7 linked regions of the Nothobranchius furzeri genome follow. The protein of the gene in region 2 interacts with the protein of the main gene of each other region in a biochemical or structural test. Links are inferred from orthologs where the notes say so. Each region holds a gene or a part of one and is shown on either strand. Other genes may lie near its edges. The genes, in order: pdk1, akt1, gab2, ccdc88ab, nedd4a, foxo4 and badb.

Region 1 (2,768 bases), on a different chromosome or scaffold from region 2:
GTGACCGACGTCTCCTTCTGCTGACTGAGGGAGCAGCTAGTTATGATTTATGTTCATCCGTTAATGTCTGAGTTTAAACTTTTGCTCTCACCTGCATCAACGTCACCTTCCACTTTTTAACTAAACGATGGAGAATGTCAAACTTGGTTTGTGACCAAAATGGATGTTCGAACATTTTTACCACTGAAAAGCTACAAGCTTTGATGAAAAACATGTATTCAAAATGTAAAATTGTTTTTTTGCAGATCATACATAGAAGTAAAACGTATACAGCTCTTTTTTAGACGTTTGCAGAAATTATTGGCAGGAACAGTTGTTGTACAGACACAAGCACTATTTGTCTTTTAATTTTTGAGGGGCCACAAAGTTTTAAATGTATAAATGAGTTTTATACATGTGCCTGTTAACTGCATTTTCTTGTTTGTTTACTTAAAATCTATTGTTTTATATCTAAATTTTCTACTAAGTAGAATAGTGTGGCTGGTAGGGATGAGGTGAGCTGCTGCGTCCGACCCAGACTCCATCACGGAGGTGGAACCACGATGCACGGCGTTGACGCATCACGGGACTTTACGGCAGAAGGATGAGCCAATCACGAGGACTCGTTTGAGTCTGGAGCTGCTGAGGCCCAGCAGTGAAAACTCAACTCACACTCTTCCTCGGAATGGCTACATCGTCTGAACAGAATATGAAATGTTGGACCGCAAGAAAACTCTTAAAATCAGAAGTGATTCTTGGTACACAGTGTAAAAAAAATAAATCTCATTTTCACTTGTGGCTTTTTTCCCCCAACTTCATACAACAGGTGCAATTTTTTGCACAGATTTATCAGATGCAGAAAGAAAATGAAACATTTGATATATTTTATTCAAGCATTTCCTTTTGGAAACCTCTATTCCACTTGCATAGTTTTTTTTACCCCAAAAATCCAAATATTAGAACAATCTAAATAGATCTACTGAGTTAAGTGCTTACAGTGCAACAACAAACTAAGACTTGTTCAGTCCTAATGCCACCACACTGGGACCAGTTAGCATTACATTAGGAAGAAAAGCTCGGAAAAGTCAAGGATGTAACATGACAGTCTGGATTTTTGTTCCTTCTAGTTATCCAGTTGCTTTTGTAAAAAAAAATAAAAATACGACCACGTAACTATAATATAGTTTTTGACCACATCAAGCAACGTTTTAAATTTTTCCTTTTGCTTTTCAAAATAACGAAGCAGAAAAGAAACTTAGAATAAAAGTTGCACACTTGTAACATAAACTAGGATCTTGTAACACCTTAAAGATGTACAGTTGTGCAAATGGTCCTGAACTACCAGAATTTAGCCTTTTCTCATTACACCCAGTTTGTTCAGCCTGGACAAATTTAAACTAATATTGGTTGTTCAGCAGCTCACGGTGGTTGTTTTCTTAATGATTAGTTGAAAACTAATACAACATATGGCACTAAGTTTGTTCTGTGATCTTTTTTTAAAACACCAGTTAAATACTCATTCCTTAACGAGAAGGTTCCCTAAACGCCTCGTCAAGAAGCCTTTAGGCTTTAAAAACTACGAAACGTGGTCATGTCCTTGGGCTCTTTGCTCGGGACGCACCAGTCATCGGCCTCGTGGATGGTCTTGTAGTGCTTCCAGGCAGACTTGTTGTACACGGGGAGTCGCTCGATAGATTCTGTGGACAGTGCCTGAAATAAGCAAAAGAAAAAAGTTAAGTTTTCATCCTACAAGGAACTTCTAACATGGTGAAACTCTGTTACCCGTATGTAGATCACAGCATCAGTTCCATAACCCTCCAGAGAGTATAGCTTCAGATCCCCCTGAAAGTAACGAGCATACAGCCTAGAGATGGGCAGGCCGTGTCCATAACCAGCCTGGGAAAACACAAACCATGATTCAGCAGAATCTTATAGTCAGTCCTGGTGTAGGTTGGCTCAGCTACATTTAGTTTACTGAACAGATGTTTTCCCTCCATTTTTAGGGGTAGTTTTTATGTTTTTTGACCAAATAGGAAAACTGGACCAAAGATGAACACCCAAACAAAATAATTATCTCACTGAAGCCTCACACCACGTGCAGACTGAAATCCGTACAGCTTCCGGATGGACTACCATTTACACCGACTGGGAAGTTGCTTGCGAGTTCACACGAGAACAACTAACCTGAGTAAAGTTGCCCCCCCCACACACACACACACACACCTTGTTCAAATTTTGTGTCAAACATTTGTGCTGCAAATATTTTTGCACTGCTTTCATTGAAAAGATAAATAAAAGTTTCCAAAGGTTATCCTAGGTCAACCCCCTGCACCCAAGCTGTGCTGATTTGATGCCAATGGAGGGGTTAAAGGTGAATACAATTGCTAATGTAGTCTACGTGACCACTTTTCCCTGTCCTTCAGGTCACATATCAGTTCAGTCACTCGGTCAGCTTACTTTCATCTTAGGAATATTTATCGCCTGCTCTGTTCACTAAAAAATTTTTGATTGATTTGCTTAATAGGGGGGGGGGGGGGGACCTTTGAAAACCTTTACTAATATCTAAAATGAAAGTAGCACAAACAATGTTGCAGCATCAAAAATGCAGCACAAATGTTTGACACCAATTTTGTTAGATTTTGGGGGGGCAACCTCACTCAGCTATTGTGTAGAGAGGAGCTGGTAAACAAAAGCCACAGCCGTCTTCTCAAACTGATATCAAGGGCATTAATTACACAAGCCGACAGACAGTTGCAACAATGGTTTTATTTTTAAATAAACCAGATGCA
Region 2 (3,870 bases):
GGTCTCGGGGTGGTGATGTACGAGATGATGTGCGGCAGGCTGCCGTTCTACAACCAGGACCACGAGAAGCTGTTTGAGCTCATCCTCATGGAGGACATCCGCTTCCCTCGGACTCTCGGGCCGGAGGCTCGCTCGCTGCTCTCTGGTCTTCTGAAAAAAGACCCGATGCAAAGGTCAGGGCGGCGGTAACCGTACACACGAACACTCCATTCAGAAGATATTTCTAAAATTAACCATTTTTTCTACTCTAAATGTGCAGCTTTAAACTTTTTGAACTTGTGCTTCCAGGTTAGGCGGCGGTCCCGACGACGCTAAGGAAATCATGCAGCACAGGTTCTTTGCTGGGATTAATTGGCAAGATGTTTATGAGAAGAAGGTGGGTTTTGACTGGTTTCTATAAATAAAGCCAGCAGCTGTCACCTCCTCAGGGATCAATAAGGTTGTGCGCCTTGAAACAGCAGCAGCATCATCTAGAAACCATATACACTGTCAGCATCGTGGCAACTGTTACCCCCCTGACTGATGGCAGGGATGCTCAGATATAATTGTGTCTTCTCTCCTCTCCAACAGCTGGTCTCGCCGTTTAAGCCCCAAGTTACCTCGGAGACGGACACACGATATTTTGACGAGGAGTTCACGGGACAAACCATCACTATCACGCCGCCTGGACAAGGTAGCGTCAGCCTCCTGTGCTTCTGAGCACCAAACAAACATGACGGTTCATTTAGATTATTAGAGTTGGGGAAATGCTGTTAATTCAATGTTTCAAAGCAACTATGAATCCTTTAGGAATTTTTTTTATTTTTTCTAAAAATCACAGGCCTTTTGGAGAAATTCAACTCCTCATTCAGTCGTCATCAGTTTCCTCCTCTTGGACTAGTTTTATCTTCTGTTCTTGAGAGCTGAGAATTGAGTTGATAATGTTCAGCTTTTTAAATGCAAACGAAGACAATACCTAGCTCTTGTGATATTGGTGCACCCCCTTCTGGAAATGTAGTGCTATTGACAGTTTATAGTACTAAAAAAATCAGGGGTGCCCCATCCTGGTCCAGCCGAGCCGCTATCCAGCATGTTTTAGTTTTCTCCCTGCCACAACGCTCCTGATTGTTGTGAACAGGTGATTAACAGGTTTCTGCAAAGCTTCGTGACCTGCTGAACAGGTCGAGTCAAACCTCGTCTCTCTCACCGTGCCATCACAGATCAGTCAGACTTCAAAGTTGGACTTAAAACAAAACATCAGCCTTTTAATCCCTAGGGGTCCCCATACTTTTGGTTTATGGTCTGTTTTAATTTGGTTTTATAATAATTTTACTGTAATTTGGATTTTAGTGTCTTTAGTATGAACTTTGGTTGTCTCTTTGGTTGTGTAGAGTGCACTGCAAATGAACTTTGACTGATTAATTGCCATTATACACCCCTGTTGAGAGTGAAAACATATTTACTGAGAAATTGTCAAATAAACCTCTGCTTGATTCAAACATATACTGAAAGTAATAGTCAATAAATGCTAACTACAATGAAGGATACCTAAATAGAAGATTAAATGATTCTTTATCCTCTCCCTCCTCAGATGACAGTATGGAGTCTTTTGACAGTGAGCGACGGCCCCACTTCCCTCAGTTTTCCTACTCGGCCAGCGGAACGGCCTAAACGAGACATTCCTCTGGTCCCACCATCAACCGCCGCCGCCACCCTGACTGCGCTCTCTCTGCCTCGTCCTCCCTGCAGTGTCTGCAGAGCGCCGTTGTTGGATGTGTCGGTCTGCGAGCCACAGGAAGGAGGAAGTGCAAGACGAAACAAAGATAACCGTGCTCGTTCTTCATGGCCTCTGAAGACTGACCGTGAAGATAACACTACCCTGCATTTCCTGGTTGTTATGCTGTGTACTGAGCAGGCATCCTTACACCATAATGAATGGGGAAATGCAGCCATGCACAAATTGGGGTACTTCTATAACTCAATAGAAAAGGGTGTGTCGTCTATATTCCTCACTTACAATAAAATGTCAACCTTTTGAGATAGATCGTAGGCACGCTGTGGACCATAAACACCATGTGAGCAGAGAGTGTGTTGCTTGTTGAGCGGTTGATTCATCCATGTTTCCAGAGTCCATTCAGACCTTTTTTTTTATTATTATTTTTTTGGCTTCGTAAGTGAATGTACCGTATCAAATAAAGTTAATCTTCCTGCATACCTATGTGTTGTAACACATGCCTAATTCTCCTCTGAGACTGAAACGCCTTTATCTGGAAAGGATTTGTGATCCTGCCGCCCCGAGGCTAAGCCGATACGCCGTATTGCCATGCCACACCATGATGGGTCTGATAAATCTGTTGTGCAATATGATGATGCAAAAAGTGGCAGACATGCTAATTGTTTGGGTAATTAGATGGCCTGCAGTGAATTTATTTTTGTAAACTCTTTGCACATCAATGAGAGACCTAGGGTGTCCTGTTCAGGCCAATAAAAAGCTCCCTTCCGAAGTAAGTCCTTATTGTTCCTGATGCCTTTGTTTATCTGGATGCTGTGCTCTTTGTTTCCCACCGCCTGGGTCACTCAACGACCCCCTCAAAACCTCTCCTTTATATGTTTGGGTTTTTCCTCCATGTACAGTACGCTATTGGGTGTTTCCCACCCGGTGCAAATGCTGCAACCTCAGTGAGGTCTCTGACTTTTCTTTAGGAAAACTTTCCATTCAAACTTAACTTCAGGGGAAAACAGTCTTTGATTTGTTTTGAGGGGACTTCTGTCCCTTTGTGAGCTTTTGAGTTATTTATATGAGACCAACATGGATAAAGAGTTTCACTGTGCCAATGACATGCACTTTGCTGCCCAAAAATGATTGTATTTGGACCCCTATGTGTAATTTATGGTTGGTAATGACTAAATTAGCGTCTTTTATATTATGAATTCATGTGTTTTCCATCATTTCTTCCTTTTTAAACAGGCTAAAACTGACTCTTTGGAAGTTCTGTCAAGAGTTTCCAAAAGCACTTCAGTGTTTCTTTTTAAATGACTGATAATCATTAGCAAAAGTACATAATTCGTCATTGAATGTAACTTTTTTATGATATATTTAGTTCAATTGTCTGCAAACTTTTGACTCTCTTGAACCTGTTTGTGACTTATTCCTATGCACACTCCCCATTCGCGGTCACCTTTTCAAATAGGGAAATTTGTTTTGTATTTTTTACTCCATGTTTTTTTTTGTACCTGCCCGGTCTGTATTCCTGAGTGAGGACACCAGCTTTAGCAAACAAATAATATAAACTTTGTACACAGTTTTTACTTGTTTCTTTTAATTGATGAAATAAAAAAATCTTATCAGTTGCTATGCTTTGTGTATTTAAAATTGCATTTAACTCAAGTCTGAGATATTATTTAGATTAATCTTTTAACTTCCAAAACAATAGTCATTTTTTTATTATTTTTTTATTTATCATTTTGGAGAAACAATGGTTAATAAAATAAAGTATATTTATAATATTCACGTAGCAATAAGCTAAAATACTATAACTTTATTCCAACATCTGCTTATTTTTTTGTTTAGTAGTTTTTTTCCAGTGTAGTTGAGTGCAAGTTTTAAAAGGGTACAGTAACTAAAATAGGATCTACCATTTAAAGGGTTCATAACATTTAAAATCACTTTTTCTTGTTTTCTCAATTAATCTAAAAGTTTTCTGCTTTACACCTTTTTCAGACTTACAAATCCCACATTAATTTTCCACTTGATTTATCTGAAACAGAGTTGGTTTCTTTAATAAAAAAATGATATGAGTTGTAGATCATGCTTTTCTTTCCTCCTGATAAAACAAGCCATGTGTGCGAGACGAATCTTCCAACGCTCAGCGGTTCTGAATGTGTCTTGGC
Region 3 (3,887 bases), on a different chromosome or scaffold from region 2:
GATTTGGGATTGTTAATAAGACAATGAAATAATTAGAGCAAAGAACTAAAATGTTCTCTTTACTTTCCATGTTCACAGAAGGTCTTCTGCTTTACACTATTTTTGATCCATCTGTGGTATTTGTCTTGGAAGCTGATGTAATTTATGGCTTGGTAAGAAATATCGTCCTTCCTTTTCAACCATCACAGGTTCCTCCTTTGAAATCAACAACCACCATCGACTGTTTCATTTCAACAACTCAGGCCAGTCTGTGGAGTCGGTCAACGATGGGTTCAGCTCATACCTGGTGGGTAGGAATGGCCATTCAAATCTGTGGAAACAGATGAAAACCAAGATTCTGTTTGGATTTTCTCAGTTTGTTTACATTATTGAGCACAGAGAGTCATGTGACTTGTGTGTGTTTTGACATCAGAGGGCCCACACCCCTCTGACTCGCTCAGACAGCGGTAACTCCGAAGACAACTACGTGCCCATGAATCCTGGTTCCTCGCCGCTCAGTGCTGCCCAGGCCGACAGTCCTAAGAATATCTACATTCCCATGAGCCCCGGGCCACATCACTTTGATTTCCCAGGGTTCTCTGCAACATTACCTGCCCGCAAGGGGAGCAGTGCCTCCTTGTGTCACCGGCCCGGTCGTCTCAGCGATGTAACACCACCTCCAATCAACCGCAACCTCAAACCTAACAGGAAATGTGAGCGTTTAGACACTTAACTTTTCATTTAATTGTTGATTTCTAGAGTTTTATTTTTTTTCTGTGGATTGTTTGGTTAAAGATGTCTGGTCTGATTTTCTCCAGCAAAGCCAACGCCTCTCGATTTGAAGAACAATGGGATCATTGACGAGCTGCCGTATAAGAGCCCCGTCACCATGTCATGGACTCGGCCCATGTGAGCTTTTAACCAGACACTTGTCACAGATTTCCCAACGTTACTCACACATAATTGTTACAGCATTTTTCTGATGTTTCTCACAGTCTTTTGCGTTTTTCCTTAGGCCTGCGATTAACTCCTCCCAGCACTGTCGACCCATCTCCACTCAAAGCATCACCAGCACCGACTCAGCAGACAGCGAGGAGAATTATGTACCTATGGTAAGTTCCAGTTTGAGGACGGGAGGTGGATTTTTGATTGGCTTGTTTACGTCATTGTGTGACCGAAACCTTCTTTTAACATCAGCAAAATCCAGCATCTACCTCCCCAGTCGTGAGTGGGACCAGCAGCCCGGCCCCTCGGAAGTGTGGGAACGTGGACTACTTGGCCCTGGACTTCCAGCCTGGCTCACCCAGTCCACATAGAAAAGTGAGCAAATAGGTTTAACTTAGTTTATCCATTTTTTATTATGGCACTTTTTGTACTCACAAGAATCCTAATCCTATATGGAGCCTAAGTCTCCTCCCTTTCCAGTCGGCTCATGGGTCCCCGGAAGAACAAAAAAATTTAATGCAAGTCAACGGAGCTAAAAGAGCTATCTTCTAATCCGCTTTGCCTTACGCCCTGGATCACATATATGTTGTACTTCCATTTAAATAAAAAGTAATTGAACCATGCCTGTCACGTACTGTGAGATTTATCAGCTTATAAAAGTTCGTAATTAGCATGACTACACACCAGAGATCAGTAAGTCACATATGTGATATCACCACAGAATCTCCTCTGCCCTAGCATAGCTGCTACGTACCACATGACCAGATTTATGGAGGTTCTTTCCTCCTGAAGGAAGGATTTGAAGTTTGCTGAACTTACAGCCATTTCCCTGTTTTTCTCCATGTCTGGTTCGATTACATCACTTTTATGAAGCGCATTTGTAGTACTGGACTTATTTTCACACAAAACCTAAAATAGCGTTTCACCCCATTCGAAAATATGCGCTTTCATGTTCTCAAAATGCTTTTTTTTTTAATTCACGGACATCATGTGTGAAATCCATGGCACATAAGCGGAATTAGAAAATAGCGTTTATTCATTCTACTGGGGACCCATGGTCCGGAAGCAGATGGGCGTGACTCAGGCCTAGTCCACACGTAGCCGGGTTTTTTAAAAACGAATATCCGCCCCTCCAAAAACGTGCATCCACACCACCACGTTTTAAAAACAAACTCTGTCCACACGTACCCGGATAAATACGTTGTTAAGGAGTGGACATGCTAGACCTGTAGGCGGCAGTACTTCCCCCGTTCTTAACCTCATCCTTCGTCTGTGGTCTTCCGCAAGGAGCAGTAATTCCGCTTGCAAAAACAAACAAGCAGAAAGCGCTTGGACAACTGATAAAGCGAGCGCAGCTCTGAGGGCATCCATGCTGTCGGCTAGTGTAAACACAGGTCACACACGTGATGTCAGCATTTTTTTGTCACGGAAAGTGACGTTGCGGACCTTAAAACTCCGGTTTTGTCCGTCCACACGCAGACACTCAAAACGGAGAAAACGCAGATCTTCACTTTGGCCGGAGTTTTTAAAAAGATCCGTTTTCGTGTGAAAAAACTCCGTTTTCGTGTGGATGACAGGCCAAAACGTAGAAAAATATCTACGTTTTGGCAGATCCCCAGCTACGTGTGGACAGGGCCTCAGGCTCCCTATAGGGCATTGATTTAGGCCCTGTCCACACGTAGCCGGGGATCTGCCAAAACGTAGATATTTTTCTACGTTTTGGCCTGTCATCCACACGAAAACGGAGTTTTTTCACACGAAAACGGATCTTTTTAAAAACTCCGGCCAAAGTGAAGATCTGCGTTTTCTCCGTTTTGGGTGTCTGCGTGTGGACGGACATAACCGGAGTTTTAAGGTCCGCAACGTCACTTTCCGCGACCAAAAAATGTTGACATCATGTGTGCGACCTGTGTTTACACTAGCCGACATCATGGAAGCCCTCAGAGCTGCGCTCTGTCACTGCCTGATCCATCAATTGTCCAAGCGCTTTTTGCTTGTTTGTTTTTGCAAACGGAGTTACTGCTCCTTACGGAAGACCACAGACGAAGGACGAGGTTAAGAACGGGGGAAGTACTGCCGCCTACAGGTCTGGCATGTCCTTAACAACGTATTTATCCGGGTACGTGTGGACAGAGTTTGCTTTTAAAACGTGGTGGTGTGGATGCACGTTTTTGGAGGGGCGGATATTCGTTTTTAAAAAACCCGGCTACGTGTGGACTAGGTCTTAAACTAATAAGTTAAAACAACCAAACTTCATCGCATTTAGATTAAATTCCATGATCAAATCTAAATATTAACACATAAAACTACAGATGGAGCTAAATCCAATTATAAATGTGGAAATTTCAGACTGAATATTTCTTTACCATTAATTTAGACAGCTTCAAAACAGATTTAGTCTACCAAAAATAGCAAAGGCTAAGAGATCCCCTATGTAATGTCTCAAACTCATTGAAGAATTGATTAGTGTGGATCATGTCAATGTGCAAGTCAAACACAGACGGGAACATTAATAATGGGCTCTCAATCTTATCATTAAAGGAACTCTGAGACCTTAAATAAGGAATCTCTTCACCCTGCTTTTATTTTGGTAGGTTTGTTGAATTATTTAATGGCATTTTGAATTTAAATGCAAGTTGGTCAGTAATTGTAATTTCATAAATAAAGATTAAAAGTGGCTAAATAAGGTTATAGTTTTTTTTACTGTATTATTTATATGAGGTGTCCTATATAACATTGCTACTTAATGACTCAGCTTTTGAAAAACTTAGGTAACTCTTCACAATAAGGGCCCCTTTGTTATATATATATATGTATATATATATATATATACATACATATATACATATACATATATATATATATACATATATCAGAATCAGAATCAGAAGAATCAGAAGAATTTTATTGCCAGCGCTCCTTTCAGAGCGTAGGAACTTGACTCCACAGTACAACCTGACCAA
Region 4 (3,887 bases), on a different chromosome or scaffold from region 2:
TGCACACGGCAACCCTTAAACATGAATAACAGTCGGGATTTGTTCAATATTGTTTTTTTTATTGCTGCGGCTTCTTTCTTTTTCCTTCGTGGTCTTTTCTCCTCTCTCTGCCTGGTCTTTTTCGTCCAAGGCGTGGGAACTGGATCACCCTGAAGATGAAGAAGCTGATCAAGCCAAAGAGCCGAGAGAGGATGCGTTCTCTCACGCTGACTCCGTCTCGGTCCGAGTTCGGAGACGTTTTCTTGCCGTTCCCTCAGGACAGCCAGGACAGCTCTTCTATAGGCTCTGGCTCCAACTCGCTGGATGACCCGCTCACGCAGAAGAGGAGCAGCAGTGAGTGCACGGAAAACGGGCACACGCACAGATGTTGACCTAAAATTCACAATTATTTACACTTTATAGATGATTAAAATTAAACCATGTTCATGATCAGAGACCGACGGATGTTTTGTGGGTGTCTGAGTGGTCGTTTGTTCCCTAACTGCTCCTTTCCATCTTTATCTCCGTGCAAAGGGAGGAGAGGGCAGCAGTGCCATGCCCAAGTGCAGGGCTCCTCCAATGGTATGCTGCGGATGGGGAGGGTGGGCGGGGCTAATGACCCAACTGTCATGGCTCTTGGGGCATGTTTTTGTGAGTTCATTGTCTGTGTCTCTCTACTGTAGTAGAGGTTACAGCTGAGCTGCACAGCAAAGAGAAACGGAGGTAAAATCACAGACTCGGTTTTAAAAATGGATGCATTTCATGTTTGAAACACAAAGCTGCGCTTGATTCCTGCAACCTTATCTCTATAAAATGTAGGTTTTCTGAATCACTTTAAGAAATGTCACCATTTTAGACAGTGGTGTGTCTAGAAAACTTTTTTTGGGGTGGCCAGGTAGGGGCCCAAGTTCGGACAAGGGTGGCACATGTATATAGCTCATATCTTTGAGAATTTTTTTAAATGAAATTACAACTAATTAATCATAAGCTAATTGGATACTATAAATGAAAATAAAGTAACCAATACCAGTGGCGCACTTTTATCAATAATTATCTGACATTTTCCCATAAATAAATGCATAAATCTATTACAATGAAATCAGGACTTTCTCTGACATTGTAAAGTCAGAATTATTTTAGAAAAGGGAGGAGGGCGCACTTTGGATTAAGTAAATTAATTTTCAGGCTAGCATTTTAGTGCATTTTAACTTTGTGGTAATTTGTAATTGTTTAAATATTTGTCAACTACAGATATAGGTTTAAAGCCTAATATCAATGAAAGAATGAAAAATATCAATGAAATATCTTTAACTAGGAATGAAATGCCCGGCCTGGTTGGTTGTTTTGTTTGAACCCAATAGTCTCATTATCTGAATTTGTGAAATGTTTTGGATCATGAACCAAGCTCTACTTTATGCTGAAAATACTAAAACATATAAAAAACTTCTAAATGTCATATTATTATATTTGATTCGATGTTCTAGATGTTTTACTGTCTCAGTTTTTGGGGTGGCCAGTCTTTTTGCAGGGGGGGCCTATGGTCTCCCAGCCTTTCTGGACACACCCCAGCCTTCAAAATAAAAGGTTTTAGTGAAGAGTCGGAAGCAAACGTGTTTCATTTTTAGTCTTTTTGAGAAATGTGTCATTTGCACACAAATATCACCAAAATACATTTGAAACATCAGCAAAAATGTAAAATCTGAGAATTATGAGAAGGCTTTTGACGATTATGTAGGAACACCTTTAATATCCACAATTATTAGTTATTATCTTTAGGCTGTTTTCTATTCATGCTCTCTTGTTATGTTGGATATGTTAAGTGTTTTAAGTTGAATTTAAATAATTCCCTCGAAGAAACCATAAAATGAAGATTAAGATGAAAGAAAGTGTTTTATAAATAAAAAAGAGCACAATGTAAACTTAATTAAATGTGCAACAACATCAAAGAAATCAGTTTAGATTAGTTTTAACCGCTATTATGTAAATAACTGTAAGAAAGGTTTTGTGATTGGACGTTAATGGTTAACTAGCTGTTTGTTGAGGGGATCAACATTCAAGCTGAATCAAGTGCACTTCGTGTATTTCAAACACTGAAACTCATTTAAGCCAAACTGCATTCCAGGTCTGTTTCTTTTAAAGTCCCCTAGCTTACACATCCAAGCTCACCAGCGTGTACACCTGCAGATCGGTGCAGCTCAACTGTAGAAAAGACAGCAACACGCTCTATCATAGCATCAAAGCTATTAAATGGTGCAAGTCTGGTCCATCCAGGATTGCTTTCTAGGACGGTAAAAAGAAAACGGGTTTATTCTCTAAACACATAAAATATTCAGGTTTTCATAGAATATTTTGATTTCCATTCAGCAAGATAACAGAACTGTTATTAAAACAGAAATCCAGAGTTTTTTCTACAAGGGCACCATCTAGAGGATACAACATGTATTACACCTTTAAGCCCCTCTCCCTACTTCTGTTAATACAGCTGGAAGCAACGCTGCTTGCTCGTAAACATTCACCTCTAGTCAGCGCGGTTTATATTCATGCATTCAGCAGACACTTTTGTCCAAAGCGACTTACAGGTGATACTGTGTTTATATATATATATATATATATATATATTAGTATATACTCTAGAAGGTGCTATATCAAATACAGGCCATTTACCATTTATACACACACACACACACACACACACACATATATATATATATATATATATATATGTATATATATATATATATATATATATGTATATATATATATATATATGTATATATATATATATACATATAATGAGCCTTGTAAAGCGCCTTGGGGGGTTTACACATATATATATATATATATATATACACGCTTTGTGGTTGACATCTGTACGTAAGCGGATGTCTGATGCTATTTGCAAATGCTTGGCGGAGCTCAAATTAAATTGTACGAGGGGGCTCTATGGGATAGGGGGTGGGTTTGGCAAAACCAAATTGACATATTGCCTTTCAGTACAGGATAAAGTGTCTTTCACACCAAATGCGGTAAGGAAGCGGCCCGTTTTCCGAACGGACGGCCTTTCACACTGACTGCAGTTTGTGTGCTGAACGTAAATGGAAAACTGCTCCTACAAGAGCACCAAATGATAAAAAAAATTGCCACAATACATTAACAAATATACCTGTAACAATAGCGTGGACTATCATACACTTAATTGATAACCCTGTCATTAATATCCAGCTAAAATAATGCGACACAAGTTTTATTTTGAAAAATACACCGGCTGTACCTCGCTGTTCCACATCTCATTTCCTGTCTGACTCATGTCATTTCTTTAACTACACGACAGTCCACATGAAATTTCATCTGAATCCACACCGCAACCGATGTGAATGCTCTGATTAGAAGCGGTATAGAAACTGGACCACATTTGTTCTGCATTTGGTGTGAAAGAGGCTTCATCCTATCACGTTTACAGATTCCTAAAAAATAATAATTCCTGAAAGGGGGAGACTCTGGATTGCTGCTTTAATGTTTATTAATGTAGGGTTAGCAAGTTACAGAGTTTTTGTTTGTTGGGAATGCTCAGTCTTCCCTGATGCCTTTAAACCCCTCTTCCTCTCTCCTGGTTGCACCCTTTAATATTGTGTGTCTCATCTAGTTGTAGTTGTGTGTTGTTGTGTGTAATACGTGAAGTTTTAAATGCTGTTCAGACTTTTAGGATCAAAACCATTTGATTGTTTCCATTTGTGTGTGTGTGTGTGTGTGTGTGTGTGTGTGTGTGTGTGTGTGTGTGTGTGTGTGTGTGTGTGTGTGTGTGTGTGTGTGTGTGTGTGTGCGCGCGCGTGTGCGCGCGTCTTTATAAAGGCTGTCCTTAATTTTCAATACATTTTTTTTTGCAAAACTCAATTAGTTATTTAGGTTAT
Region 5 (4,583 bases), on a different chromosome or scaffold from region 2:
CAGCATTTTTATTGACTAAATTTGAAATATGTGAATAATTTTTTACCTTTTGCTATCTGAATTGTTGCAAGATTTAAATGAACAAAACCACAGTTTCAGAACAATAAATGAATAGGAAAATTACCAAATATTCAACAAATCACCAAATGTGGTCTACACTATTATTCAGGACAAAAAGGGTAGATTAAACACTTTCAAGGAAAAATATACTAAAAATCTTTACATAGTAGTAATAAGGAAAAGATTTGCTGTAGAACAAAGATCAACACAGATCAAGCAGCTCCTTCAGCCACTCGGAAATGGAACCAAACTGAGAACATTGATGTACAAACTGGACTTTTACAAATTGCCTTCTCACTCTTTTAACCTGTTGTTTATTATTAAATTAGTAGAATTTTCCCCTAAATTGTTCAAAATAGTCTGTACTGTAGAGGATTAAAAACTTGAACTGTTTTAAAAACATTCAAGAACTAAACCATCGATGTAGCATATTCCAGATTAGATGCTGCATACAAACAGTAACTGTTACACAGTGACTGAGAGGTTGGTTAAATACCTAAAAGTAAATAAACACAGCTTAAGAAACTAGTTCATCCACCTGCTGCACCTGCTGATTGATTTTTCCAGTCTTTACTCGAACCACACCTCTCTGACTCAGCTTGTAGTGACTACACAGCAGACTGGTTCTCTGAAAAGTTGATTAAATACCGCCTTTGTTTTTGTTCACTTTGATACCAAACTCATGGAGTTCTTAAGGGACGTGTCTCTGTATTATTGCCGCATGACGTCATTCTATATAAGCATTTGATATTGTATGGCCATTGCATTACTGTCACACGGTTCTGTTGGTTTAAAAAATAGGTTAGGAGTTCCACAGCGTCCTGCAGTGAGTCATGTCCTTATCCCGGCCGTGACTTCCATTATTATACTTTGGAAGCAAAGTAATGCCCTGAAATAGGTCAGGCAGCCTCACTGTTAATAAATTAAACTGTCAACATCTATGGAGAAGTAATAAGAGCAGCATTGACTGTTACATGAGGCATCAGATAACCAGTTTCATGACATTTATTTTTTCTTAAAACCTCACGTTTTTCTCATTAGGCAGCAGCTGTCCTGTTCCCTGCAGGAAATATTTAAAGTCACTGCTAAAACACTAAAAGGAGCTCTTGTGTTATCCTAATGAGCTCTGTGATTTACTGTCTGAAATGTGCTTTTGCAACCTGCTCCTTGGTTTGATGCAGAATTTTGTTGACATTCACTCGTTTGATTTCCTGTAATTCAATAGCAATGGGTAAAACTATTTGTGGGGCACAGAGCAGCAGAAACATTAGTAGCATAGCAGCAGCAGGAGTCCTGAGCGAATGGGCCAACGCAGATGTGACACTTTACCAGAGCTTCAGTCTAAAATGCAGCACGTTGGACTGTCATGCTTTTGTTTGTTTTTCTTTATTTTCAGAAGAAAAATGCTAATTTGTCTGTTTTTTTTTTTGGAGGCACAGTCGAGTTACGCTAGGCTTTTATTAGAATGCAAAGCTGAGGAAAAGGTTTTCCAATTATCTTTAGAGTAGCTTTGTTCTTCTTTATTGGGCCGAGGAATTTTAAAGGGGCTAATGGTTCGGTTTGAAAGGTCATGTGTTTGGGTCATGTCTCCAAACAGAACCACTGGCCTGCTCTGACTAAAAGCTGAGATCAGCCTGGAGAGGAATGTAGCTTGTCACCAGAGCTATTTTGGCAATGCGCAGCTACTAATGATTGTGATCACAGCGCATGGAGCTGTTGCGTTTGCTCTCGTTTTTTTTTTCCACCAGCAAGTTTGATCATGTACGTCTCGCCAGCCCTACAGGGATTAGTGAGTTGAACAAATGTCACATCAGCTCCGTTTGCATTTTGCGTCAAGGAGAAGCAACACGGACCCCCTGTCGGAAAGCCTCAGCAGCCAAGGTGAAGAGAGTGGAGTCAGTCTGTCGGCTCATGGCCCAGCGGAGAATCTGGCGCACAGCTCTGTTCACTTGAAGGTGACTCCTCTGTCACCAGACGTTGCCAGCAGTCAGTGCTCTTCAGTGTTCATACCCAGGGTTCACGCTGGAGGGTGTAATAAGAAGAGCGTTTTGCAAATTGCGCTGCAGCCCTGTGGGAAACTCGGTGGAAAACTGGATTGCAGTTTAGAAGATGGAGAACCAGGGGCTTGTGAAGTTGGAGCAGGTACCGGCTCTGACGGAGGTTCATGCAACAGCAGCATGGCCAGCGATGCGGGGTACTGTAGCAGCAGCAGCATCTTTGAGCCAGAGCTTCCAGAAAAGCACAGGACAATCCAGGAGAGGACTCTGCTTTGTCGCAAGTCCAAGGTCCCGCTGCGACGATGCTCCTCACTGATTATTATTCCGAAGAGCCCATGTAGCACTCCACCTGCTTCCCCAGGATGTGCTGTGACTCCGTTTGCTTACCCACTGCCAAAGGGTACTAATCAGTCACATCTTCAGACGTCTTTCAGTGATTTCTCCCAAGAGAAAGTAGGGGCGAGCTCCACTGTAGCAAGTGGACACCAAACATCAAAACGAAGCTGCTCATCTGAACTTAGGGACATGAAACACATGGTCCACTTTAATATTCCTCTACAGGATGGAACAAAATGCAAATCAGAAGGCAATAGCGCGTTGATGGAGCTTCCGTCAGCCTCAGACAGACCTAATCTTCACTCTAGCAGCGTGCTGCTGCATTTTGCCCACCAGAAACCAACAGTATCTACCAAGGGAGTTGTGGAAATGGTTGCAGCCAACGAAGCTCACCACCAAGTTCACCTATCTCAAAGGGAAAACATCAATCACAGAAAACTGTATCGCAGTACCTCTGCTTGTTTGTTTTCTTCATCCAAGCCATCAGAGAAAAACGATAAAAGCGGTTTGTCTGGAAAAGATCAAATCGGGCTTGGTGAAAAGCATCGTGCCATACAGAGGAGCTTTTCCCTCGAGGTGCCCTACCCTAACACTGGAATTTCATGCCACGTTTCTAACCCCGAGCTCTGCAGCCCTCGCTCCCCACATGTGCACATTCATTTATCCCCATGCTACCCCGGAAGGTTGCGAAGCTCTGTTACAGATGTTAAGAATCACAAAGAAAGTAATGCAGTAAAGGGTTCAGTTCAAAATGACAAGGTGAGTATGACATTTCTAACTCTTTAGAGGCTTTATATTGATCACCTAGTAGCCTTTTGTCAGCACTCTAGACCTGCTGCCACTGTTGTCAAACAAGTTTGAGTAGATTCCACTCCGTCATTGGTTCAGCCTCTCCTGCATCAATGTTCAGACATATCGAGAGTTTCTAATGAGTAGTATAAATAAACACCGCTTGATTAATTGTTTGTTGTAAACTTGCAGCTTTTAACTGATTGGTTGTTTTCATCAATGAAAATTTCTAAGTTCCAGTACACTGGAATAATGTCACCCTAAAGTCTTAAACTGTTTTTGCTTTGACTTTAGCATTAGACTGGTTACAAGACTTCTAGTAACTGAGAAGCCCTTTAACTTTAAGTCATGTATTTAACAAGCTGTGTGTGGACAAACATTCAGAGGTGTTCAGTTACATTACAGTAAATCCATCTGCATATTGGATACCAAGAAATGTGTAAATTAGAAAGACAGGTTCTCCATCTTGTGAATACCAGCATTCATCAGTGTGAAAACACAATTTCAGTAGAGTTTTCCACTTTTATTATTCTGTTAGCACTATAAGTGATCAGGTTAAGTATTTACCATGGCTATTTATAGAGTTGGGAAGCGCAGTGCCCCATGCCGATATAAATAAGGTGCCTCTGAAATATTCCCCCTGACTCCGGATAGTCTGCTGGTCTGTAGCACTGCCCAAAACCTGTGGATTCAAATTTAACAGCATGATACTAGAGTGGTGCACAGTCATGTCGGCTATCTGCGTACATGTGTGTGTGTGTGTGTGTGCTCGTTTCCAAGTAAACGGGTGGCGTGCTACCATCCCTGTGGGTCCCCCCACCAAGCAATGTTTGTGAAATATCAGCTGTCAGTCTCTTCCTGCGTTTAGCAGGTTGTCAAAGAGGGTCCACTTAAGACTTTTTAAATCTGCAAAGGTTTGTTTTCATATCCTTTTACTAGGGCTGAACGATTTTGGAAAACAATCTTAATTGCGATGTTTTCTTCAATACTGCAATTGTGATTGAATTCACGATTATTTTCTCAAGGGGTTTTTCTCATATTTTTCAACTAACGGAAGCAGAAAAAAAATGTAACTTGTACTGAATATAAACAAGTTTATGTATCTACATATGTATCTACATATCATATCAACAAGTTTATTTGTCTACACATCCATAAACACTCACAAGCCAAGACAAAATCTTGTATTCGAAGGTGCAATGCTTTGCAGCCAGGAGCACATCCCTTGAAGTCGCATAGGTATTGGCATCACCTGTGAAAATTTATTTGCAGGGAAGAAATGTGTCCCGTTTATTGAAGTCTTTTGTGCTTATAGTTTTTGACGTCTTGTCCATGCAGAGCTACTGTAGTTCAGTTACATTCATAGCTGCTAGCCAAAACTCTGTGGAGTTAAAGTCTATT
Region 6 (4,514 bases), on a different chromosome or scaffold from region 2:
AGATTTAATATCAAAAAATTATTTCAGCTTTTATTTAATCACGTATGCTCTTTTTTACACTCACGAATGTGTGTGTATATATGTATATATATAATTTACAGACATACTATTGTTCTTCCACAGATGACCTGGCTAATCTGTTCAGAATAATTCAGAAATTTAGTATGTCACGCTAAAGAACAAAGACAAGGTATTTCGCCAGGTAATCCGAATCTTCTCAGATGTATCAGTCATCACCTTGGATGAACCAAGTGTCCTTAGAACACTTTCATAAACGGTTATATAATAGAGGTACATGTTGCCTCCCTGGTCTGCTGTTTACGTCTGTCACATGAGTGACTCGGTTTCCCAGAGTTCTATCCGCGCATGCGCAGATCACGTTGCCTGACAGTGGTAAACAGACGTCAGAAGGGAGTCTTCGCCTCGAGTCAAAACAAAACAAAGCAAAACAAGTCAAAAAGAGAGTGAATAAGCTAATATTTGGATAGGTACTACGAAAGAAAACTTGAAAAATCACCACCGATTGGAAACGGCTACTTGGATGACGTTTTGTGAGGATTCTCGCCGACTTTTCCACGGATTGTAAACTCTGGAGTAGCAGGAGCTTAAGCAGCTAACGTTACGGTGGTTGTGCTGTTTTTTTCAAAGTGCAGCGACTGGGGGAGCCGACAGAGTTGCGGGCCGACCAGCCTCGCGCAGCACCCGGGAACAGACTGTGAGCTGTATTTATCGAGTTCACAGAGCTAAAGAAGGAAAATTTGACCGAAATCCGTGCCTCCTTCTGGGGAGTTTTGTACACATCGTGTGCCGCGGCAGGAGAGTAGAGAAACATGGCAGATGGTGACACGCGCCTGGCCGCAATGTGGCGGATCGTGCAGACTTGAGGCACGGACTTTTTATGCTACTTTTCTACCCTCTCGACATTTTTACCACAGTAAACACTATAAAACTGGACACTAAAGCGCTCTACCTGCGTTTTTTTTCTCGTTGGATCTAGTCTGGGTGTTTCTCTCCTAGCCTGGCCGCAGAGGCGGCGAGGAGCGTCTCAGAACTGTTTGTACTTTTTTGGGGGCAGCAGAAAGTAGCTCCTCTGACAGTCAGCGGACAGACATTTTTACTCTTAACTCTTAATTCAACCGCACTGACTTGTGGCTGTTAGCTGGGTGTAGTACAATGGACTTTTTTATTGTAGTTGTGCCTTGTTAAAGAAAGTTTGGATGTTTTTTGTTTGTTTGTTTACAAATGCGGTGGTTCTCCTCAGAAGCTCCTTTGTATCAAACTAATTCCTGCGTGAGTCTTTATAGTTTTGTACTTTTGTAAAAAGAAACATTATTGGATATTGAATAATAATTCTGTTTCAACTCGTTTCAATATTATTATTTTAAACATCTAAGACGTAAATTGAGTGTTTTTCAAGTGGAATGGCATTGTTTTGTTTTAGTTGACATTTGATTGTTTTTTATTGCTTTCCATGTGAGCCAAAACATCTGTAGATCCAGATGTTTAGGTGCCCCAAATCACTCCGCCACTTTTGTTTGTTTCATTGAAACAAAAGGACTCCAGTCACAGTCCTCCTTCACTCTGTATAAATCGGAAGGTTTATAATAGTTACTATTAAGGAGATTATTTGGGTTCCCTAATCTCCAATCTGAGGATTAACCAAGGCCATTGGTGTGTCCAGATTATTGTCTCTTCTAGACTTCTCGGTAGACACCCCCAGTTGTGGTTTTTTTTTTTTGTGGATCAAAAAGTTTCTCTTCGTACTTTGATCTACTTTTAAACTGTTAGGGGTCATTTTTTAAAGAGAAACTTGGTGAAAGAAAAGTTCAGGGAACCGCCATGATGGACGACTCGTCGATGCCCCCCATCGACCCAGATTTTGAGCCACAGAGCAGACCCCGCTCCTGCACGTGGCCTCTCCCGAGACCCGACATCTCTGTTGTCAAACCGGAGGGGACGGACGGCACGGAGTCAGCCGCCGGGACCCCGCCTGCCGATGAGGACAAGCCCGATCCGCAGCAAATCACGTCTGAGCCGGAGAAAGCGGCGGCAGCGGCTGAGGGCGTGGCTACAGCCGGTGTGGGCGGGGCTGGAGCGACGCCCCGCAAAGGATCATCCCGGCGTAACGCTTGGGGGAACCAGAGCTACGCTGATCTGATAAGCCAGGCTATCGAGAACTCACCGGAAAAGAGGCTGACCCTGGCTCAGATCTATGATTGGATGGTGAAAACTGTGCCTTACTTCAGAGATAAAGGAGACAGCAACAGCTCAGCCGGCTGGAAGGTGAGTTCAAATGTTAAAAACAAGTGTTTTCAGCTTTTTTATATGTAAATTTTTTTGATTAATCTGTAAATATAATCTTCCTACCTGCAGCTGTTGGATTTGATAATTTTCTATTTTGTCTGTTTTCAGAACTCGATTCGCCACAATTTATCACTCCACAACAAGTTCTTGAGGGTACACAATGAATCAACAGGTAAAAGCTCCTGGTGGATGCTGAATCCTGAAGGGGGGAAGACTGGAAAAGCTCCTCGTCGCCGAGCTGTCTCCATGGACAACAGCAGCAAACTGCTGAAGAGCCGCATGAGAGCCAAGCAGACCAAAAAGCAGGCGGGAGCGGCCGGCACAGGAGGGGGGCTGCCAGGCGATGGCAGCACCGGTTCAGCCGGTGCCGACAGCCCTAACTCATCCCAGCAGTTTCCTAAATGGGGCGTCAACAGTAGCAGCCCCTCGTCCCGCGGCAGCCTGGACGATGGGGACATGTGGACAACTTTCCGCCCCCGCACAAGTTCTAATGCCAGCACCCTGAGTGGACGTCTGTCCCCCATCGCTCCTGTCCAAGAGGATGACGATAACCTGCCTGAGGACAGTTTGCTGGGGAGATACACCAGCAGCAGCTTGACCCCCACCCTCACAGAGACCGTCATGGAGGAGCTGGATCTGATCGACAACCTGACCCTGATGACTGGGCAGCAAGGAGGGGCCAGCCCCAGCACAGCCCCACCAGCACCTCCCACTCCACTACCTTCTGCCTCCACCCTGCTGCCACGGGCTTCCAACTTCTCCTCCTTCCATCAGCTGCAGCCAAACAGCGTCTCCCAGGCCCCTGCCAACACCGGGACCCAGGCCTCTGTCTCTCTGTGTGGACCGAGCAAAGAGCCAGCGACCTTCAGCAACTCCATCTTCAACCCCATGCCCAGCCCCGTCTCTTGTGGAAGCAGCCATTACTGCAGCCATGTCCCTTCCAGTCTGGAGGCGCTCCTCACCTCAGACTCCCCTCCTCCAAGTGATATTTTGATGGCGCAGGTGGACTCTCTCATGCCTAATTCTGGAGGGATGGGTCCAATGGGTTTGGGCTCATCTGTGGTGGGTTTGAGGCCCAACTCCAACCAGCTACAGGTGGGTAAAGGGCTGGAGCCCAGCACTGTGGCACCAATAGCGCTGCAGCCTCAGATGCAACCTCAGCAGCATCACCTCCATCACCACCATCAGCAGCAGCATCACTCTCAGATGGGCATAGGGATGATCCTCTCAGGTATGTCTCAGGACCCATCATCGCTCTCTACTATGAACCAGTTTCCAGCTCCACTCAGCTTCCCCACAGGCCAGGACCGTCTGCCTACAGACATAGACATAGAAATGTTCACAGAAAACCTGGATTGTGATGTGGACTACATTATTAACAGTGACCTCATGGATGGAGATGGCATGGATTTCAACTTTGACCCCATCCTGCCCGGAGGTCAAGGTTACACCGGCCCGTCCACACAGGGGCCGGCTCACAGCTGGGTACCCAGCTAATTCTGCAGCTCAACACACGAAACTAGCCAGGTACATGGACTTCTCTCTCTGTTGATCATGTCTCAGGGACACTTTGGGCCTTTAATGAGCTAATAAGCAACATTATTTAGTGGTAAAGTGAGGTTAAACAGAGAAACCGTGTAGATACTCATATTGTAAGAGGCCATGCGGTCAGGTTATCATTTCAGAGCTGAAAATTTGTTAAATAGTTAATCTGCAATTAATCGTAAGCAGATATTTACAGCTTTTATTGTCCCAAATGACGGTTAGCCTTTTTGTTTTCTGTAACTGTGAATTTACTATTTAAGTCATTTGAGTCTACGTGATTTATTAAAGAAGTGAGAGCGTGCTACATTTTCACACACATCTGCGTACACGGATGTAATCAAGCTTTTAAGTGCATCGCTTCCGTTCCCAGGACGAGCCAATCAGCATCAACATTAATGACTCTTGTATCGATCTCCTTGTCTTGCAGGATCTGACCTCTTGCTCAACAACGGGGCGCCCCTCCTCCCAGCAGGCTCAAAATGCTTTCCCATAAAACGCAAACTTTCTCTCTCGGATGTTAAAACAGCAAAACCCGGGCCTGACCCATGTCACGTGCCAAGACACGCGTAGGACAGTGAGGAGATTCAGGCTACTATGCACAGTTTATTTTTTCTTTTCTTACAATCTGAACTGATTTTTTAAAGGATGTGCGTGAGAGCGTATTT
Region 7 (4,542 bases), on a different chromosome or scaffold from region 2:
ATGTTGAAAGAATGTATCTACCAAGACAGATTGGAGGCAGAGGACTTACACAACTTGAGATGGCTTACAAAACAACAACAATGGCATTGAAAACCTACCTTGAAACAACAGACGATGCCCTACTGATCCTCGTTTGTCAACATGAAGCTCGAAAGAAGCTCTACTCTGTTACAAAAGAAGCTATAAGATATGCACAGGAACTAAACATCCCAGAGGTGGCAAGAATAGAGAAAGAAACAGTGACAAGCTTTGCCAAGAGGACCAGAAGGGAGGCAAAGAAATGGGCACAAAAAAGGATGAGAGAAACATGGGAGGAAAAACCAATGCATGGACAATACCCCTTGAGAGTAAAAAAAGCAGATGTAGAACAAGATCATACTCATCAGTGGCTACGCAGTGCAGGACTGAAGGCAGAAACTGAAGGATTGTTGATAGCAGCACAAGACCAGAGCCTGTCAACGAGATCATACCACCACAAGATCATTAAAGACGGAACAGACCCCATGTGTAGAATGTGCAGCCAATATGAAGAAACCATTGACCACATTGTCTCAGGCTGCCCCACTCTAGCCAGAACTGAGTACATCCACAGACATGACAGGGCAGCAAGCTATATCCACTGGAAGATTTGCAAACATTTCCATCTACCAGCTGCAGATAAGTGGTATGAACACCAACCACCAACAGTGACTGAAAACAACAACATCGCAGTGTTGTGGGACATGCCAATCAACACAGACAGAGAAATCATGGCCAACAGACCAGACATAGTCATCAAAAACAAAGAAGAGAAGACCTGCCTCATGATTGATATGACCATCCCATCTGAAAAAAATGTCACCACCAAGGAGCTTGAAAAGCTATCAAAGTACAAGGATCTGGAAATAGAAGTCACAAGAATGTGGGGGATGAAGACAGCAACAATACCCGTCGTAGTGGGTGCACTTGGCCTCATCAAGAAGGGACTGGAAAAGAGAACAAAACAGATTCCTGGAAACCCAACAGTCCAAGAAATCCAGAAGATTGTTCTTCTCGGAAGTGCCCACATCATCAGAAGGACGCTTTCCATAAACTAACCCTGAAACTGCCTTAGAAGCATGGATTGATTCTGGCACTTCAGTGAAAGCATACAAATATACAAAAAATATATAATAACAATAATAAGAATTTAATAATAATAATAATAACAATAAAATAATATTAATAATAATATTTATAATAATAATAATAAAATTTTTTTTTAAATAATAATAATAATAATAATAAAACCAATAATAATAATAATAGTAGTAGTAGTAGTAGTAACGTCATTATAGAAGAGACTATCTGTGCAATGTAGCCTAATAAAAGAAAGGCAAGTATGTAAAGCTAAATTAGTATTTTACTATTGAAAGTCGATGTTTGTCCAATAAAAATTAAGTAGGAAATGCAAATGAAAGTAATGTTTTTAAAAGGAGTTTTATTCTACCTGCACCAGTAATGGGAGGAGTACTTGATTTTTTTTTTACTTGAGTAAAAGTGCAGATGAACAGGTGAAGAAAATAACCTATGGAAAAGTGGAAGTATCCAAGAAGATAATGATTTAAGTAAAAGTATTAAAGTATGCACTTTCAAAAGTACTCAAAAGTAGAAAAGCAAAAGTCTTCATCTAACAGTTAAAGCTGCTTTCCGGAGTTTTCCTCTTTCAGAAACGATGTATGATTTGTCAGAAATCCGTAAAAGTGATTATCTTATCATGTACTGTGATCAAATATAAGCAATACATCTTTTTTTTCTTTGCTAAGCACGCCCCCTGCCTCTGTGCAATAGGAAACCGAGCACCGACCAGAACTAACCAATAGCGTTAGACTACCGCTTAGACGCTTCACATTTAAGGAATACCTCGGCTGACGCAGAGTTGATGAACTTTTCATCGACAAGCAAGTCTCTAAAATATAAATATATGAAAACACACGACATGAGAATAATACTCGTAAAACAACGTGTTTTAGCTCCGTTTGTCGGCTACAGAAGCACATTTATGAACAGAAACGTGAAGTCGCCATCTTAAATAAAACAAAGGAATGGCGTTTTTGTGTGATACGCTCGTCAGCCACTAGATGGTGCCATCGGATAAGAGAAACACTCCGGAAAGAAGCTTTAAATAAGCAACAGCACTAGCTCAGGAGGTAGAGCAGGTTCTAATTGGAAGGTTGCAGGTTCGATCCCGGCTCCGACCAGAGAATGCTGCTGTTGTGTCCTTGGGCAAGACACTTAACGCACCGTGCCTGCTGGTGGTGGTCAGTGGTTGTCAGCCTCACCTCTGTCAGAGAGCCCCAGGGCAGCTGTGGCTACACTGTAGCTCATCCCCACCAGCGTATGGATGTGTGAATGACTGATTGTGTTGTGAAGAGCCTTGGGGGGTTGTAGAACCCTAAAGGCGCTACACAAATACAGGCCATTTACCATTTACCGTGTGTGGTGTGTGTGTAGAAGTGTTCTGTGGAACCAAGGGGGAGGGGCTAATAAAATTACCTTTGCAACTCCAGTACGGCGTGGTAGTAGAGTACAGGTGGGGGTCGGACAAAGCAAAGTAAAAAGTAGGCCTCAATAAAATTAGTTACATGAAGTACAGATACAGAAAAAATGTACTTAAGTACAGTAATGAACTACTTATAGTTACTTAAGTAAAAGTGGGAGTATCCAAGTACAATGCAAAGTAATTGTACTTCATTACATTCCATGACTGTTCTGTAAAACTGGTTCCTAGTTAGGAATGTAGTCGAAGTGATGAGTCATCCTGAACGCTTTAGTGATGAGGATGTCGGACCTGTAAGCAGGAGGCGGGAAGTGAAGAAGCTAACCAGAGCGATCATGTAAGCGCCTGGGTACCAGCAACGGTCTCAGAACCCACAGAAGGAAGCAGAAGCCGGAGACGACCCGAGGAAACCTCAGGGAGAAGAAGCAGAAAACACGAGAACAAAATAACCCAAAGACACACGAACTCTGAACACCGAAACAAACCTTTGATGCATTCTGATCATCTGATGGAGTTTCGGTCAAATCTCCAAAATGACTTGATGCTCGATGTCAGAGCTTGGAGTGTGTGATGTGAATGACTCTCACACACAGAAAAATGACTCAATATCTGTGGAATCCTCTGAGTTAGAAGCATTTTCATCTTGTTCTGTTGACTGTGGCGGCCATCTTGAACAGGGCAGGACTGGATGATGGTCTAAAGCTGCTAATCTCACTGCATCGCTGCACATAATTTACTATAAATCTGTCATGGCCCTGCTAACGCTGCTGTTTCCTCTCCACCTCTCACGAGAAACGTAGGTTATCCATCCTCTTCTACACTTTAGGTGGGACAGTGATGAGAAGAGGAACAACTTCACAAACACAATTTGGTTTTTCCATCAAGAGGAAGTTCACATTTTCAGTGCTTCCTCTGTGGTTAACTTATGTCATCACTAAGGTCACCATTCCCACCCATCACCCCGCTCTCTTCCCCCCTTTCTCACGGTTTCACTTCCACCTCTCATCTCTCCATCCTTTCTCTGTTCCTTGTATCTGGGCCACTGTCTGAACTAGTTCACCACCCGTTTGCTGGCCAATGGCGTCGTTATTTCTGCTCAATTAATGATATTTTTGTCTGTTTTTGGGTGCGTTCAAATTCTAAATTCATAACCAAGAATAAGGAGGCGTTAAATCTGACTGTAGAGCTTCACAGTGAGTTCCTGTTTCAGCGATTTCACACAAAAACAACAGGAAAGTTTGAAAGTACCGAAGCGTATTTCTATTAAACTATAATGAAAACTCTGCGATGGACTGGCTCTCTGTCCAGGGTGTACCCCGCCTGATTGCCCATTGACCGCTGGAGATAGGCACCAGCCCCCCGCGACCCTACGTGGACAAAGTGGGTTCAGAAAATGGATGGATGGATATAATGAAAACTTTGGTCAGCAAAACTGAGGAGATGATGTAACATCAGCAGAACAATCCACACCTACATAAAACTAATAACAGCAAGGCTGTGATGGATGGCTGTCGCCACGGGAACAAGGTGCAGGAACTCATTTCACTACGATGTATTAGTGCACGTCTTCAAGTGTTCAGCATCTTATCAGCTCAAATCATCGGCAAACATGCAGGCATTTTAAACCCAAAGGTCATGTGCTAACACTGTGTGTGTGTGTGTGTGTGTGTGTGTGTGTGTGTGTGTGTGTGTGTGTGTGTGTGTGTGTGTGTGTGTAAGTGTAGAAGGTCAGAGCTCCTTTCCAGAGTGGGAAAGAAAACACTGGAGATGCTGGTGATGAATTGCTCTTTAGGACCATTTTCCGTGCAGCTGTTTTCTCCAGGCTTTATCCAACTGACACACCGGATTCAAGCATGTGCATGGTGCGTGCACACACCGTGCACGGTGTGTGCACGCTGCAGTTTGTATTTCTGAGCAGAACAAGAGTTGGAGATCATAAATAAGACAAGCTTTTACCCAACAGCCGAGTCTGAGAGTTTGTCTGAAATACACATTTGTTATTAATGTTCTCTGAGCTGCATCTA

What was found.
Region 1: of the proteins of akt1 (region 2) and pdk1, one has a biochemical effect on the other in vitro, tested with the Homo sapiens proteins (3 studies listed by BioGRID and IntAct, with this or other methods). The link is inferred for Nothobranchius furzeri from reciprocal best matches to the Homo sapiens genes AKT1 and PDK1.
Region 3: of the proteins of akt1 (region 2) and gab2, one has a biochemical effect on the other in vitro, tested with the Homo sapiens proteins (2 studies listed by BioGRID). The link is inferred for Nothobranchius furzeri from reciprocal best matches to the Homo sapiens genes AKT1 and GAB2.
Region 4: the proteins of akt1 (region 2) and ccdc88ab form a complex in vitro, tested with the Homo sapiens proteins (2 studies listed by BioGRID, with this or other methods). The link is inferred for Nothobranchius furzeri from reciprocal best matches to the Homo sapiens genes AKT1 and CCDC88A.
Region 5: of the proteins of akt1 (region 2) and nedd4a, one has a biochemical effect on the other in vitro, tested with the Homo sapiens proteins (3 studies listed by BioGRID, with this or other methods). The link is inferred for Nothobranchius furzeri from reciprocal best matches to the Homo sapiens genes AKT1 and NEDD4.
Region 6: the proteins of akt1 (region 2) and foxo4 form a complex in vitro, tested with the Homo sapiens proteins (2 studies listed by BioGRID, with this or other methods). The link is inferred for Nothobranchius furzeri from reciprocal best matches to the Homo sapiens genes AKT1 and FOXO4.
Region 7: of the proteins of akt1 (region 2) and badb, one has a biochemical effect on the other in vitro, tested with the Homo sapiens proteins (6 studies listed by BioGRID, with this or other methods). The link is inferred for Nothobranchius furzeri from reciprocal best matches to the Homo sapiens genes AKT1 and BAD.

What each region holds. Positions count from the first base shown.
Region 1 is NC_091754.1:20,885,113-20,887,880, reverse strand, and holds the end of pdk1 (pyruvate dehydrogenase (acetyl-transferring) kinase isozyme 1, mitochondrial), read right to left. Parts: intron 1,876-2,768; coding exon 1,762-1,875; intron 1,690-1,761; coding exon 1,549-1,689; 3' UTR 849-1,548; downstream 1-848. UniProt on the Homo sapiens protein: Kinase that plays a key role in regulation of glucose and fatty acid metabolism and homeostasis via phosphorylation of the pyruvate dehydrogenase subunits PDHA1 and PDHA2.
Region 2 is NC_091758.1:33,903,147-33,907,016, reverse strand, and holds the end of akt1 (RAC-alpha serine/threonine-protein kinase), read left to right. Parts: coding exon 1-173; intron 174-288; coding exon 289-376; intron 377-570; coding exon 571-673; intron 674-1,570; coding exon 1,571-1,650; 3' UTR 1,651-3,332; downstream 3,333-3,870. UniProt on the Homo sapiens protein: AKT1 is one of 3 closely related serine/threonine-protein kinases (AKT1, AKT2 and AKT3) called the AKT kinase, and which regulate many processes including metabolism, proliferation, cell survival, growth and angiogenesis.
Region 3 is NC_091753.1:44,950,947-44,954,833, forward strand, and holds part of gab2 (GRB2-associated-binding protein 2), read left to right. Parts: intron 1-188; coding exon 189-286; intron 287-412; coding exon 413-692; intron 693-797; coding exon 798-888; intron 889-994; coding exon 995-1,091; intron 1,092-1,176; coding exon 1,177-1,299; intron 1,300-3,887. UniProt on the Homo sapiens protein: Adapter protein which acts downstream of several membrane receptors including cytokine, antigen, hormone, cell matrix and growth factor receptors to regulate multiple signaling pathways.
Region 4 is NC_091752.1:26,346,614-26,350,500, forward strand, and holds part of ccdc88ab (girdin), read left to right. Parts: intron 1-130; coding exon 131-333; intron 334-513; coding exon 514-561; intron 562-3,887. UniProt on the Homo sapiens protein: Bifunctional modulator of guanine nucleotide-binding proteins (G proteins). Acts as a non-receptor guanine nucleotide exchange factor which binds to and activates guanine nucleotide-binding protein G(i) alpha subunits.
Region 5 is NC_091749.1:60,023,683-60,028,265, forward strand, and holds the start of nedd4a (E3 ubiquitin-protein ligase NEDD4), read left to right. Parts: upstream 1-1,655; 5' UTR 1,656-1,862; coding exon 1,863-3,152; intron 3,153-4,583. UniProt on the Homo sapiens protein: E3 ubiquitin-protein ligase which accepts ubiquitin from an E2 ubiquitin-conjugating enzyme in the form of a thioester and then directly transfers the ubiquitin to targeted substrates. Specifically ubiquitinates 'Lys-63' in target proteins.
Region 6 is NC_091741.1:84,782,710-84,787,223, forward strand, and holds foxo4 (forkhead box protein O4), read left to right. Parts: upstream 1-1,690; 5' UTR 1,691-1,839; coding exon 1,840-2,283; intron 2,284-2,412; coding exon 2,413-3,801; 3' UTR 3,802-3,831; intron 3,832-4,276; 3' UTR 4,277-4,485; downstream 4,486-4,514. UniProt on the Homo sapiens protein: Transcription factor involved in the regulation of the insulin signaling pathway. Binds to insulin-response elements (IREs) and can activate transcription of IGFBP1.
Region 7 is NC_091754.1:60,854,584-60,859,125, reverse strand, and holds the start of badb (BCL2 associated agonist of cell death b), read right to left. Parts: upstream 3,028-4,542; 5' UTR 3,004-3,027; intron 1-3,003. UniProt on the Homo sapiens protein: Promotes cell death. Successfully competes for the binding to Bcl-X(L), Bcl-2 and Bcl-W, thereby affecting the level of heterodimerization of these proteins with BAX. Can reverse the death repressor activity of Bcl-X(L), but not that of Bcl-2.